Cricetulus griseus: one gene and its partner. The main gene of each other region encodes a partner of the protein of the gene in region 2 in a complex. Links are inferred from orthologs where the notes say so. Each region holds a gene or a part of one and is shown on either strand. Other genes may lie near its edges.

Evidence for each region. The genes of interacting proteins can lie anywhere in the genome.
Region 1: the proteins of Ncoa5 (region 2) and Esr2 are in contact, whole or in part, in a crystal structure (PDB 4ZI1), measured with the Homo sapiens proteins. The link is inferred for Cricetulus griseus from reciprocal best matches to the Homo sapiens genes NCOA5 and ESR2. Residues at the interface, in NP_066018.1 of Homo sapiens: Ser344, Leu345, Ile346, Leu348, Leu349, Ala350, Asp351; in NP_001428.1 of Homo sapiens: Ile310, Lys314, Phe319, Leu324, Gln327, Val328, Leu331, Glu332, Leu490, Glu493, Met494.

The regions. Positions count from the first base shown.
Region 1 is NC_048598.1:127,398,896-127,406,914, reverse strand, and holds the end of Esr2 (estrogen receptor beta), read right to left. Parts: intron 3,957-8,019; coding exon 3,902-3,956; intron 3,438-3,901; coding exon 2,982-3,437; 3' UTR 520-2,981; downstream 1-519.
Region 2 is NC_048599.1:14,418,240-14,426,143, reverse strand, and holds the end of Ncoa5 (nuclear receptor coactivator 5), read right to left. Parts: intron 6,428-7,904; coding exon 6,228-6,427; intron 5,090-6,227; coding exon 4,766-5,089; coding exon of another isoform or gene 4,743-4,765; intron 4,292-4,742; coding exon 3,702-4,291; 3' UTR 2,518-3,701; downstream 1-2,517. UniProt on the Homo sapiens protein: Nuclear receptor coregulator that can have both coactivator and corepressor functions.

The DNA.
Region 1 (8,019 bases), on a different chromosome or scaffold from region 2:
TCTTTTTAATACACTTAATGATGGGGGAGGGATAGAGATGAGTGCCACGTCACATGGTGGAGGCCCAAGGACAACTTGTGGGAGTCTCCTTCTACCATGTGCATCCCAGGGATAGAGTTCAAGTCTTTACCGGCTGAGCCATCTCTCTAGTCCTCACTTAATTTTTGATGGCATTCTGAAAGGTTGGTACCATCATCCCAATTTACTTATAAAAAAAAAAAACTGAGGGCTAAAGTTAAGTAACCTTAACCAACTAACAGAGGCAGCTCTCAATGCGACCAGGATCTTAACTCAAGACAGTGTACACACACACACACACACACACACATGCGCGTGCACGCGCGTGCACGCGCCCCATACCACCCTAGTTGGAAGCACAAAATGACTAGAACCCTGTGAGATCTTCACCACAGACCTTAAAGTTGAAAGCCTGGCATAGTATTTAGTACTCTAAAGCCCACTAAAGCAGGTCTCCTTCACTGGTTAAAAAGAAAAGAAAGACACCCCACACACAAAAAAAAAAAATCTAATACTTTAGTTTTATTCTCAACAAATTTCAAAATAATTAGTACCACATAACAGGTTTCTTAAAGCTACATTACATCTGATCATTTCAGACAGCTAGGCTCCTCACATTTGCTGTTTTGGCTCTTGAGACAACACTGCATGGTCAGCTGAAGCCTTCTCATTTACAGAGAGGGAACTGCCACTCAGAAAAGGAAAATGACATCCACTCAGGGCAGGAACAGGAGCCAAAGTCTGTCTGTCTCACTGCACAATGTATTTTAAAGACATGTCCAACTCCTTTGGGATGCTGGGTTTCCAAGGCACCATATAGAATTTTTCTGAAACCTAGAGCTCATTGTCAGGTACTGTCTCCTGGAAGACAGTGGTTCTCAAGCTTCAGCATGTGTCATAACCTACCTCAGTGCCCCAAGCACGTCTAGAGCTGCTCCATCCACAGGTCCAGGTGAGGCCAAGACCTTCATTCCTAACGTGTGCAGATGTGACGGCAAGGTGTGGTGCTCTTGATGGGAACTCTGTTTGAGAAACACATGAGTAGTGGAGTGAAATAAATCACAAATGATGAATAAGTCTTGCGCCTCAGTCCCTATGCTGAGAAACCATGCACAAGCCCTGCTTCTTGCCTCCCTAGCAGGGTATCTGTGAGGACTGAGATTCAAAGGAGAGCTTGCCAAGACAATCAAGCATCCATCCAACACACATCTGTCTCCATGGCATCTCACAGCCCCAACAAATTCATGGATTGGCTAGATGGCTGACCAGTGAGATCTTGCAATGCACTTGCCTCCTGTACATCCCCGCCCCCATTCCCAAGCTAGGGCTACAAGTATGCATACCACCACGCTCAGCTTTTCTATAGATACTGGGGATCTGAACACTGGTCCTTATGCTTGTGTTACACACACTTTACCAACTGAGCTATCTCCTCAGCCCTAGGACGGGACCATTTTAAAGACTGTGTCCAGTGGTGTGGGTGAATGAGCTGATGAAACTTTCCAGTGCCTGGAAGAGCTCCCTTGGGAAGGTTTACATGGACAGTCCCCCTTGTGTGAGGATCACAGAGATCATTTTCACTCTGTTGATCTGTAGTTTCTCAGGAAAATGTTGTTACCATTCTCTCGAATGCCTCCTCGATGTCATCATCATGAACAGCTTAGTACCCTTACACTAGAGTATGAAGGAGAGACTTCAGTAGCTTGTAAACAAAAAAGACTAGTCCCTCCCTGTGGACATTGGGTGGCTCTTTTGTTTTCAGAAATAGCAAGTCCCTGGAAAGACACTGGAAGAAATTAAACATTCTTCTCACATTTCCCCTACCATCGTGAAAAGCCTATCAAGTTTATACAAATAGCAAGTAAAATGTTGTCACTTAAGCTCAACAGTTATTACCCTGGCAACCATGGGCTACGATTGTTTTTCATCCTTTGGAGAATGGGCCAGCACTTTTCATGGCTCTCCTATCTGTATTTTCTCAAGGTCACTGTGAAAGGCCAAACAATGCTGCCAGTTAGGAAGCTGTCTTACTTTAGTCACCACAGGTGCCTGGAAGGAGCTGGAGGTTGGCCTCCACATTTATCTTTTCCTTGTCATCGGCCCAACCATTCTACCTTGGAGCACGTGACTGCTGTTACACACCCTGCAGAAATGTCTTCCTGGGAGTCAAGGGCTTCCCCAAGGAGAGAGCAGCCATCAGCAAATGGGAAGCAACTGGCCTGATGTGCGAGGTCAGGGAGTGAGCCTCCATGTCCTGTCCTGTAGTAGGAGGTCACAGGCCCAGCCCAGCATGTGGGAATGAACAAAACAGCAGCATTTATGAATAATGTTGCCAAGCCTGCATGCTGTTGCACTGGTAGAGGAGGCTTTGCTCTCCAAGGTGGGGATAGATTAATGGCTTAAGAGGTGGGTTGTAGGAACACACAGGAGATCAACTCTCAAAACAGGGAAAGAAGCAAGCCTGACCCATTTCCATAGGAGAAAGAAGGATTTCCATGTTCCTGCATTTTGGAAAACCCAGGGAGAAGCTCAAATCTCTTCCTCTATCTTGAGGTCCATTTGTACTGCAAGGCGGAGTCCCTCTGCAGCAGTCAGTGGAACAGAGAAAATGAACTCTGGCCTTCTCAGGCAGGACAGCAGATCTAAGGCAAGAGGAAAACTCCTCAGGGAAAACTCTTCTTCTGGACCTGAGGAAGGCACCCCTAAATGGCTCTGGCTTCAGTTTGCACTGCTGGTGGTGAACATGACACAGAAAAATTATAGACCAGAAATCTTTTTTCCCCCCATGTTCCCAATCGAAATGTTTCCTCCCTGGCTTTATAGCACTTCATACATATCACGGTGCCAAGATAACGCTGGGACTTTCTCCTCTCAGCCTCGCAATCCTGTAGCGTCAGAACAAAGGCTGTGTGTGAGGAGAGCTGGAGAGAGACATTTTCTTTTTTGCAAGCGGGAAAAACAGATTAAATATTGCAGAGCGTAGAAAAGGTGTCTTGCTTCCAGCGGGAGCCCTGTGCTGGTAAGCCAGCCGGAGCTGGTGCCTCAGATGAGGAGCCTTGGGGAGGGCCTGGTTGGAAGATAGTGAGCCAGTGAATGAAGAGGGCAGGCTGGGCAGGGGGAGGGGCCGCCTGGCCAGGAGGTAGAGGTGCAGCCGGGAACTTGGAGCTTCCGCTGAAACCTAAGGAATGGTTTTTTCTCATAAACAGTAAGTACCATTTCAGCTGACAGCTGCACCCGCGACCCAGGCAGCCGCTGCTATCTCTGTGTCTTTCTGTTTTGGTTACAATGGAGATCACTGGTGAGATGGTGGCTGCAGAGTGTGTGCGCTCAGCCATTCGGGGGATGGGTTCTCTCCCGGCGTCAGCATGCTTGTGTTGGCTGCAGTCTGCCTCTGACAAGCCGGCAGAGATGCGATTGTGCTGTATAGAAAATAGACATATCCCCGCATCAAAAATTCTTCAAAGCAGCTCTAAAATATATTGTACTGTCTGTGCCTTCAAATCAGGGCATGGAAATTAATAATTTTACTATGAAGATATCTAGCTCAAAATGTAAAAAGATAAAATTGTGCCGGCTTGGAACAGTGTGTTTAGCAGCTGACAGCTGACCATAGCTTTCAGTCTGGATTTAGATACTTTTGGTCATTCCCGTTCTCCTTACTAAATTCTGTGACACGACACATTGACACAGGCACTACCTAACTTCCACTGACCTGAGCTTTTATAATCTAACTGTATGTGGCTTACCATGAGAACAAGGCTGAAAGGTATATTACTCCATATGCATGAATATGAATTATTCCGGATAAATATGCATTCCATATTTAAAGCCTCAGGCACACATAGCAAGACTTCTGCCTGCTATATATAGATTACCAACTCACCTTAATTTTGACCGTTCTGGAAGGAGAACCGTGTTCTTCGGTGTTTCTGAGCCATCTGTAGTTAAGATGAAAGAAAAACTTTATTCACCTTGATCATGCCCCGAATCTCTACCCATAATTCCTGGAGTAGACCTCTTCTATTCCACAGCTACTTATAGTCATAATTCTAACTTTGTTTGGCTTCATAGAAAAAAAATGTCTTTTTGGCATGGATGACTTCTCCTTTAAACCTAACTATTGTTTTGATCATCGATTCCAGAATTGAGCTCTGGAAACCCTGTTTCTTTTCTCCTGGGTGTATGTCTTATGTTCCGAGGTAACGCATGAGAAATATTACCTAGCTAGACGTGGGCAAGTGCAGAGGTGGAAGCCACATGGACTGCCTAGGTGGTTGATGTCATGCAGCAGCATGTCCAGAGGCTGCTCTCTGAGATTTCCTTGTTTCCTGGTGTTAAATGGAGAGAGCCACTTTGACAAATGTCAGCCCTCAGGATTAGCAAGGGGCACATGCTTCCTGACCCAGGAAAGGTGACAGTTGAGTTACAGCATCCACAGGGAGCAGAGCTATAGAAACTTCAACAATGTATCTGTTGGTTCTTGCAATTAATCGTCAAGTGGTGGCCTGAGAAACATTCTGATTCCAGTGTACTGGGGGTGTCAGGACTCTAGGCAGAGGTTAACACTCTGCCTAGGTGAAGTGCATTCTCTCTCTCTCTCTCTCTCTCTCTCTCTCTCTCTCTCTCTCTCTCTCTCTCTCTCTCTCTCTCTCTCTCTCTCTCTTCCCTTCCTCTACTTGGCCCTAAGTATACTTGTTGTCAATCAGTTACATGCCACTCACAGCTGGGCAGCAAGTTGCTTTGAGGGCAAAGTATTCTGGTATCACCTCTGGTCTTTAAAATAGGGCAGTGCCATCATTTTGATGGAAAAGACAAACTGGCAACTGTCACTTCCTCACCCAGTAGGGATTTCTCAGAGCTTCTAATACTGTTCCACGACATGTGAGTTGCATCAGCTCTGTGGGACTTATAACCCATCTTCCAGTTATCATTGAATCCTCACAGTGTGCACAGGGCCCCAAACAAAAGCAAATGGTTAAATGTTTGTTGAAAGAAAGCCATGGAAGGGAAACATGGGCAGTCTATCTGTGACTTCCAGCCTCTTCCCATACATTGGCTACAAGCCACAAGACACAGCAGCATGTGACTCCTCTGCCACCACATCCTGGATCTGAATCATGTTCCTTGGCGGCAGCGAAACCCATCTTCTGCCCTCAATCTGTGCACATCTGTATGTGCAAGGTATGTGACAAGCCATAGGGGCCAAACTGCCAGAGGTTATAGGATCATGCCCCTGCTCTTTAATGGCCCATGTGACTGGGGCTGGTTATTTAACCCATGTGTCGTCTTTTCCTCCACTGTCCGATAGGGATGACAATGTTGATGGCACTTGTCAGCATCATTGGGAGGAATAAACGAGTTGCTAGCTTGTGAGACAAAGCAGGCCTGACATGTTAGCATGTGAGATAAATGTTAGCAGGGTACATAGATGTTCCATTTTAGTACATGGCTTATTTATAAGTTACAAAGTATATCCAATATAGATATTTTAAAAGAATGGGTTACACATCTAAGTGTCCCTTTGCCTCAGATGCTCAAGAACATACTTTGGATTTTTTTTTTCTATTTTGGAATATTTGCATATTTATAATGAGATCTCTTGGGAATTCATTGGTATTTCTCATGCACATAGCTCTAAAGTAATTCTATATGTCTTTAGTGCAACTGCCTTGACTGTAACCATCGTATAAGGTGTGCTGTGGGATTGTTCACTGGTATGGCAGGATATAGAACCCAGAAAGTATGGACTTTTGAGCATTATAGGTTACGGTTTTTAGATTAGAGATGTTCCGTCCATATTTCATTTCAGTTCTCTATTGTTCTGCCTTGAGCATTTCATTTTGAATGCCACAGTTCTAGGAGAGCCAAGCAAATTATTCCTCTCCTTCTCCAGGAGTTATAACATCCCTAGCCTCTGGTTGACAAAACTAAACATGGCCATGCCTAGGCCATCCTGTGTTAGCTCCCTTTGTGGTCTCCCCAGACCTCTTTTTGTTAAAATGAGGAAAAGACCCTGCTGTGATTCGCATAGGACATGGATTAGGTGTTGGATGGAAGCATAGTGAGCCACCAGCCTGGGAAGAAGGAAGAGCAAGCGGGACCCGCAGTAGGCCGGTCACTGAGCCTGAATGTTGGTCTCTACCCACAGGAAGTTCTCATGCCAGCCAAGCCTCTTCTCCAGCCAGAGGTTTTTAGGAAGGCAGCCCCTCATAGCTGTGTGGACAGCTTCTGGGCCTTACACAGTCAGGGTGGTAAGATGAAGTAAGAAGGGCACAGTGGTAAACCATGGAAATAAAGGCAGGATCTAGGTTACAGCCGTATCCAGGCCTAGCCTGGATTCAGTTACTTCCTTTTCAATAAATCATCTCACGGCTTTGAAGGAGACTTTGTCTGCTACAAGAGTGCAATTTGGAAAATGTACCCCCTTGAAACTGATCTTGCCATTTTTCCTGGGCACTTGTCCTGATCAGAGATTGTCCCAAATATCCTTCATGCGTGCACATCTCCTTCCTTCCGGCTAGCCAACCCAGTGAAGGAAGGTGTCACTGGTAGCCCCACTTTACAAGTGAGATTAATGAAAGCCAGAACTCAAACCTAAGCCCTTACAGACTGCATGGCCTGCCTCCAAACCTCCCCACCTCACAGAGCCACTGAGAATAAAACACTCGGGAGAGAATGTGGCCAAGTCCAGTGCCAGCTGGATACAGTGTTACAGCATCCAATGTCCTGGTCAGCATCAGAAGAGTTAGCTGAGGAACATTTATTATATTCTGATGGCTATCTGTCCAGTGGTCCCACATCACCTGCAAGATGCTTAATAATAAGGACACTTGGAGTCTGAGTCCGGAATCTTGCAGGGGTGTAGAGATTGTAGATGGTAGATGGTAGTTGGGCGGGACTTTAACAGACCTGGTCCACTTGACTCCAGTGCTCTGGTCTTATCCTTATCGCTGGGGTTTCAGAGACCTCAGGGGTAAAAGGATTCTCCTAAAACCATACAAGTCCTGCTCACAGGACTAGAACCCGAAGGCAATCCTCAGGGTTGTCTTGGTTGATGGTGAGATAGAAACACACTGACTCTTTAGTCCACTTAAACCATAGCCTGGAAGTAGAGAATGTAGCTCAGTCAGTAGAGTGCTTACCCAGCATGCACTAAGCCCTGGAATCCATTCCTAGCACGGTATAAACCAGTATGGTCCTATATGGTTATAATCGCAGTGCTACAAAGGTGGAGTCAGAAGGATAAGAAATTCAAGATCATCCTTGGCAACAGAGAAAACCTGAGCTACAAAAGGCCCTATCTGAAAATAAAACAGCCTATGGGGAAGTGACTGTGCATGTTTATTCATGGAACAAATATTTGTTGACAGCCCTGTCCTCAGGCAGCAGGAGGTACTGCCTTTCCTGAAGAGTGCAGAATGTCTCTTATGGTAGTGTTAGCCTTCCCTGGAGCTCCAGGAGCATGGGGGCAGGGTTTGGGTGGGATGTTGAAGAAGCAGGTCCCCCAAGAAAAGAGGATCAGCTTTTGGTGAGAGGCCAAGAGGCCATACAAATTGCTTGAGGTGTTAAACCGATTATGAGATTAAACTGGTTTGTCAAGGTAGAGAACGGACTGTTGAAAGATTCAGAGCATGAATCAGGACTTATCTTCCGAAATGGAAACAAAGGTGGGTAGGAGGGCACAGAGGCCAGAAGGAAGTTGTTCAGTTAAGTAAGAGTTGTGGTGCGGCAGACAGTGTGTTTCCTGTGAGTTGAGGTCAGCATCGCAGTTTCTCTTTCCATCGCCATCATCAGGGGGATGCAGCTTTGGCGGCATCTTCCAACCTGAGGATTGGTAAGTAGAGACTTTGAACTGTAAACCATTACTTCAAATCTCTGGGATTAACCCAAATCCCCCAGATCAACAGTGAAAGCACTCACTCATTCCACTGTAGGGCTTTCATGAAAGCAGCTGATTGAAGCATTTCATTTCGGTCTCTCTGTGAAGCATGGTGACTAGCC
Region 2 (7,904 bases):
CCTCACCACGGCCGCGCTCTCCCCGCTGTGGGCACCCAGGGAGGCGGAAGCCCCGGGAGCCAGGTTTCCGTGCGCCCGCCCGAGCCGAGCCGAGAGCCAAGCGCTTTAAGGCCTGCGCTCTCCCTCCCTTCCCTGTCCACACCCTGGGCCTCCCTCTCTTCCTTCCAGTTCTTGGCAAACACAGGTGAGACGGCGGCGGCCAGCTTCGGTGGATGCGAGCTTTCTGGCGGCCAGGAGAGCGAGGGGTCCATCCTCCAAGGGGAGAAACCGAGGCCCGCACCTACCGAGCAAGCCCCGCCCGGTGCCTTCGCGGAGGAGCTTGCCGCCTGCTCCCCATATCCCGTGGCTCCTCGCCAAAGACTGAATTTGTGGAGCTGGAGGGCGGCACCCCCTCCCCAGTTTCCTCCCTGAGACAGGCGAGAGTCGTGGGGCCAATGCCAGTCTAGAGGCCCGGGCAGCCTCTGATGTTCCCTCCCTTGGTCCCCCATCTGCAGGTCCTGCCTGGGGACCCAGCTGCCTACTGAGTGCTCTGAAGATGGGCCTTGCTGCCTAGTAGCAGGTCCTTAGAGCTACGTCTCCCAGACACCAGGTCCTGGAGCAGGGCTGGAGTCACGTGGGCTCTGTTGTTCCTGGCGCTTTTCTGCCCTCTTCTGACTTGGACCCAAGGCCTTTGGCTTCCCTAACTCGTCCTTGGCGCTTCCGCTCCACCAGCCCCACCTGTGGGGAGGTGCCCTCAGTCCTTAGAAAGGCGTTTGGCCGGTTCCCTTCCCCTAGGGCACGTTACTAAGGGGACAGGCACTGCATGCTCCTTTAAGCGCCCTCTGGGACTGGGTACAGTGCCACCAGCCCCAGGGCCCTGGCCTGCGCACCTAGTTAGACATCCTGCCCACTCCAAGGCCGGGGCCACTAGCTGACCTCACCACCTCCTTTCCCATGAGCCCAAGCAGAAAGCTGCAGCTGATGCCATCTAGACAGGGTCAGGTGTGGCCTGTGGCAGGGCTGGAAGTTCGCTGCTCGGCTGCTGGGCCCATGGCCCCTCTGCGGTTTGATGGGGACTGGATATTCTTCCAGGCAGTATCCAAAAAGTTGGAAGTGTAGGACCCAGGACCTGTCATCCTTCAAGACTGCCCTCCCTTGCCGTGGTCTTGCCTTTTGGGGCAAGAGAGGGGCTGCGCAGAAGAGGCTTTATCAACATCAGTTAGGGAACCAAAGTTGCACTACCTGGGCCCAGACTCTGGTTGGCAAGAGCAAAGTTTCCGTTGATGAAAACAAACATCCCACAACAAAACCCCAAGTTTTCTGTGCTCCATGTGCAATATTTGTTATGAACCTTGTGTCGTTCAAGTCACCTTTATAATCTTGTAGCTAGATGTTCCATGTCCATCCAGGTGACTTTTACTCTGAGTGCAATATTTCAATAGCCTGGTAGTAAGAAGGAGTGTTGCTTTTGTTTCAGCCGACCTATGTGCAGGGCAATGCAATGCAAGTCCAAAACCCTTGTAAATAGGAGAGGTTGCAAGCCAAATCAAGAGTATTTATCGTTATTACTATTATTATTAGGCCTGCCTTTAATTTTAGTGTTTTGGTATTTCGCATCCTGCCTCGGTATTGATCTTGTGTTCTTTGTGCCAATATGCAAAGGAGAGGGTCGGTCTTTCCTTTATTGTTGAATGCTCCCATTTAATGCTTTAAGGCTTTTACTGTGTTAATTTTTTAGATACCTGTCTGCACACAATGCAATAAAAATAATTTTATTACACCCTTGATAGCCTAAGGGGTACAGTTTGGACACTTCAGGAGGAAGTCAAATCCACTGTTGACAGAAGTTTTGTTTTTTTTGAGACAGGAGCTCACAGAGCCCAGGCTGGCTTGGAACTTGGCTATGTAGCCAAGGATGACCTTGAACTTCCAATCCTCTTGCTGCCACCTTCGAAGTCCTGGGGATTTTATGTGTGGACCACCATATCCAGTTAGAGCAGGACTCTTGGGTGGGAAAACAGCCCTCTCTGCTCATAGAAGAAGTGAGTACACCAGCTTTGGGGCCCCGCGCCTGAGCCCGGAGGTGCTTCCTAGGTGTCAGGTCACATGGCATCCTCTGGGAGGCAGCAAGTCCTTAGGGGAAGCTTGGGACATTGATGCCAAGTGTATTATAGGCTCTTCAGGGCTTTCAGGTTCTACCTACAGATTATGTCAAACTCCTGCACGACGGGCAGCAACAGAGACGAAGGCTAAAGAGGAATGCCTCTGCCTCTAACCATCATCCATAAAGACTTCTCACAATGGCTTCCTCCCCTATGTTTTGGCCACAACCCCTGGTAAGCTGTCTCTACTAGAAGCAGGTGCAGAGTAGGACAGGACTTGATGTGAGGCTATTGCTCTGTGCCATTACTAACACTTCTCAGCAGGTGGGCAGCACACTGAGGTTCAAGCTGGGTCAGGGATCCTAAGGCCTGATCTTGGGGCAAGTGCTCTGCAAAGAGATGCTGCAGATACACCCAAGAAAGATGAGCACAGGTCTGACTTTCTTATTTTAATTAAAAAGTAATTATTTCATTTTATCAACAACACAAGAGTTCCAAAGAGGGGGGGAAAAACCCCACCATATAACAAACAGATCAGAACATAAACTGCTGCCGTTTGGGGACCTTGGGTTTTGAATCTGGTTTGCTTAGCCCCTGGCAGGGACTCAGCTGGAGCTACCACTCTTGCTTGCTCTTCTAGGTCCCTCTTTCTCACAGATTTGATCCACAGGGTTCTAAATGAGCAGTCTTTCCCAAAGGAAAAGGAGTTATCCTTTGGATCCATTCAGGGTGGCATCCAGAGCCTTCCAAGTGTCACTTTGTCTCAAAAGTTATGAATGCTGTCCGTCTCAGAACATATCCAACTACTACAGTCTAACATCAAATGGTCCCTACCTCCTGCTCATCAGACAAGGGAACAAGAGTATGGATGAGAACGAAAGCCTGGGCTCCCACTGAAAACATGGGTGTCCAGTGCTGGAGACTGGAGCTGCCCTGTCAGTGCTGCTGGACACAAAGGTGCTGACTAATGCTGTGGAGAGCAGTGGGTCCCAGTCCCAGTTCATGTCAAACTGCCGAGTGAGCCGCACAGTCATCTGGAGACCCTCCAAGGAAATGGAAAACTACAAAACCAAACCAACCCCCCAGAGACCGTGTGACACAGGCACAAGAGTCCACTTTTCCCCAGTTCAGAGTAGCCAATGGGAGTCCTTGAGTGGAGTTCCATTCTCTTGATGGGACAGTGATGACACTGCCTGCCAAGGCCAACCTGCTTCTATGCGAGCCAGGCAGCTCAATTCTGGATGACGTGTGGAGGTGGAAACAAAGGCTGTCACCACTGACTCCATAAGTGGTGTTCAAACTGAGGCAGCTGGGGTTTGGCTTCTTTCTTTATTCCTCCAAATCCAGGCTGGGGCCAGAGCTACCCCATCAGAAAGAAGCTGAGCCTAGACCCCAGAAATACTTATTTTCTATCCAAACAAAAGATACAGTCCCGAAAGCAGTCTAAGTTCTGATTCTGTTAAGTGGTAAGCAACAGCCGCAGGAAGGAGCGGTGCAAGAAACTTAGGATATCTGATGCTGACCCAGAGAGTGCGAAGAACACTTCCAAACATCTCTACTTAGGATGAAGTGGGAGGGACCAGGGGAAAAGGGGACTAGGGAGAGTGGACTGGTGGAGCCTCAGTAATGCCTCTGGTATGATCCTATGGGGGCCTGGGGCCGCCCCACCTGTGCAGCAGTTTGGCTAACCAGGTGGGAAAGAGCAGGGCCACTCTGGATCAGGGTGTCCAGAGCCTTTTGTACACTTGGATTGTCAAAGTTAATACCTGTGGAAGATACAGGCCTCTGGCTAGCCATGTTGCTGGCAGGTGCCAGGCGACTGGAAGGCTGACCAAAGAGCCCTTGGGAAGGAGCCCCAGGCCTGGGGCCCATGTTCCGAGCAGACCCTGCCTGTCCCACAATGCTTGGAGGCTGATTTCCTGAGGCCTGTGGTCTTTGCTGAGGCTGGCTGTTTGCTGCTGTGGAAAAATTCTGGTTCTGGGAGCTCCCGGCAGCAACCGAGGGGGATGCAGAGCTGCTGTTGGCCGAGACCGTGCCACTGTTGAAGAGGCTGAGGATTTTGGCCTGAAGCTCTTGCTGGGAGGTTGGGGGTGCGGCTGGAGTGGGTGTAGCAGAGGGAAGCACTTGGCCACTCTGAAGCGGTTGGGAACTTGATTGTGTCTTCAGCGAGGTACCCGAGGCCGCCCCGAGTGGCTGGCGGGAAATCGGGCCTGGAAGACAAAAGAGGGAGGCATCTGGTTGAGAGTGCCCCCTAAGGGCAGGAGGCCTAGCAGCCAAAGGAAGAACAACAATCATACATCACAGCAATCGACAGTACAAACAATAACATCAAATTCTAAAAGGACCATCTCAGGATATGGTCCTGAGCTGAAAGCAGCCTAGAGCCCAAAAAATTGCTTGAAAAAAGGAATGAATAAACAAACAAACAAACAAACAAACAAGGGCATCCATCATAGCTCCCAGGGAGCCAACAATTGTAGTTTACCCCCCATTAAGCCAACTCCAGGGAGATCATTGCTAACAGCATCACCAGCGTGCACGGCCTGTGTGAGAGGCCAGTGGATGGCTCATTTCCCTTCCCCACCGCAGAGAACCCTGGGCATGCCCCCCTCCCCCGGGAGCACGGGATGAGAGAAATGCAGCGTGAGAAGAGAACTTCACCTCGGCCCTGCCACGTAGCTCACCAGGCAGAGCGTCGGCGGCGCTGCTCCTCAGGAGCCGCTCCTTCCGCCCACGCAGGTAGTCGATGACCCTGTCGGTCTCCTCTGCAGTGAGGTATCTGTTGTCTGCCAGCAGGTTGATGAGGCTCTGAATGGCTGGAGGGTGCCCCCCACGACCTCCCTCCTCAGGGCCTCCACGATCTCGTTCCTGTAGAATGGCTTCATTAGCCATCTTGGCTGCCTGTCGGGCAATCTCCTCACGTTCCTTTTCCCGACAGTTATTCTTGTAGCGTTCATAATTCCTGGCCACCAGCACCATGGCATCTGCCTGGGGCATGTTGCGATGCTCTGTAGGAGGCAATAACACAAGCTATTTTCTCCCATGATAGATCCGAGTGCCTTTCTTATTCTCAAAGCAGAGAAGCACTGCAGGGGCAAGAAGCCTTGAGCCTAGAGTAAGGCAGGCTGAGGGACAGAGCAGTGCTCTTCAGGGTGGACCATACCTTCCTACAGAGCTATTTCTTCAGTGAGATCCCTAGATCACAGACCTGTGATAAAAACCAAAGGAATACAAGAGCCTCCCACAGAGTCAAACAGACCATGTGGGGAGCAGCCTGCAGCCTCTAGACAGCAGCAGGAGGCCAAAGAAGCTCTGTAAAGCCTGGCTCCCCGCTGTGCTCCTCAGGGCAGAGCCACCACTTTTAAATCCATCAGTTCAAAAGTCATGGACCAAGATCAAATTGCAGAGTGGTGAGGACACTTCTTGGAATCTTACATAAACATTCTAATACAAACTAAGGGCAGCTCCTCAGGGACAAATGACTTGGGGATTCTAACATACCCTGTGACTATGGGTGTGACAGCCCAGGCCATCCGAGACACTGGGCAGGTGCAAAAGGGGAAGTTAGGCTTTAAGAGTCACAATCAGGGCATGGGTGGCTGAGTGTCAATGCTTGGAGGACGCTCAAAGCACCAAAGTCACTTTGAAGGATGACTCGAAGGATCCTGTCCTTCCTTTGGAGGGCCAGAGCCGCCTCCTGTCCTCATAACTCCTCTACTTGGTTCTCCGTTACACCGACAAACAGTACCCTGTCTGTGACAGTCTCTGTCTCCAGGAGCTGCATTTCAGGGAGCAGACGCCTAAGCCAGACTTCCCTGGGAGCCAGGTGTGCACAAGTCGTGACACTGGTGGCCTGAGATGGGGTACTATGGCAGTGCTGACGTCACGGAATCAGTGAATGCGACACATCACTGACCTCTACAGCAGAACTGGCTGTTGAACAGCTTGCAACAGGCCCAGTATTAGTATCAGAGAACACCAAGGAAAATATGATGATGAAAGTCTCCTAGATAGCACAAAAAGGAGCTGCTACATTGGAGATGAAACATATCAGCCACTCCCCCAAACCCACTTCTCACAAGCAGGTCACAGAATCAGTGTGCTGGCGACTATCTCTGGGAATTTGGACTACTTGGGTCTCTGTACCTTGTGGAGTTCCAAACATGATGTTGACTGTACAGGAGCGGTGAATCTGGTGCTGCTGGGTGATGACAATGGCAAAGGGAGACCCTCCCCTGCTGACATCCTCCAGCGCTTGTGACAATGACACCTCTGTGTTAAGGAAGATCAGGTCCACAACCATGCCGAGGTCTCGCACCTTCCGCCCCACAGACTCAGCATAGTCCCTGTAAGAACAAACAGGATCCGGGTGAGCACTATCTAGCCACATCTTAATCAGCACACTGCTGGATCCCAGCCTGCTGTGTCTCCTTTTCAGAACTCAGGCTCTAGCCCACCCAGTATTAGGGTTCTAGTTTTAACTTGCCTATAGGCCCGCAAGGAAACTGCCAGTAGGATAGTTTTAAATATCAAGGTGGAGCTTACTTCACGAGGAAAGATTTGGTCAACTGAGGAACTTTAGCTTCCCAGCTAATTACTCTGGACCCTAACATAGTAACGTACGAAGGACACTAGAAAAAGCATCGCAAGCTTCACTTCAAGGCCCGAGTCCTCACAGTCTCACTCACTCAAAGGAAAAAACGGCATCTTCCCCGTCATTCTCATGCCATTCAGATGTTCAAAATGGGAAGAGCCCATCCCAGTCATGGAACAAACATCACCAGAGGGATGCCGGAGGCACGGGGCGCGCTTCTTCCATGTGTGCTGTGTTGTCATTTCAAAGAGCAGCACTTGTCACAGCAGTGCAGGTGTTGTCAACAGTCGAGTCACACTCCCCAACACTGGGCACTCTGCAGGGCCTTCTAGAGTGCATGGCAACTGAAGCCACAGGACAGGAGCAAAGCTCCAGAGAGCAAAAATGCCCAGGCCCCCCAGACTCGCCACTCCCATCAGCCTCTGCCTTAAGATCTCAATAATGGAGTGCTCTGGTGGATCTCCAGTGGGTCTTTTGCTGTCTCTTAGCCCCTCAAGGTTGAATTGTTTCTCAGGGGTCAATCCTTCAGGATTTTTTTCCATTATTTGCTGTCTACCTATTAAGGGCCATGACAACAATATCATGAGGATGTCACCAAGAGATCAGATACAGCACCTTTCTGACCTTCCCCTAAGGTATCTTTCATAATTTTGCTAAGTTTTTAAACTTGATCTCTTCCTGTTTATCTTCTGGAAGTTCCAAGCCATCTTTAGTAGCTGACACATCTTCCCTCAATACTCTTCAGCTATTGGACACAGTAACCACCAACGAGCTCAGTCATACAGATCACTTCTGAGACTCCCCTGGGAGAAAACAGATGTGTTTCTGGTCTTCAGAAGAAACCACCTTACCCCTAGAAGCAGCCATGTTGTATCGGATAAACTATGAGAGTATCTGACTGGGAGGATGTCATAAAACTTTTTGTAGTTTTTCTTTATCCTTTACCAGTTTATTTATTAAATTTAAAACATTATGTCTGCATGTATGTCTGTGTTCCATGTACCTGGTGCCCCAGGAGACCAGAAGAGGGCACTGGATCCTCTGGGACTCTAATTAAAAGAGGGTTGTTGGCTGTCATGTGGGTGCTGGGAATTGAACCCTGGTCCTCTGGAAGAGCAGCCAGAGTGTGTACTGAACCACTGAGTCACCTCTCCAGCCTTTTCTTTTTTTTTTCTTTCTTTTTTTTTTGTTTTTTGAGACAGGGTTTCTCTGTGGCTTTGGAGGTTGTC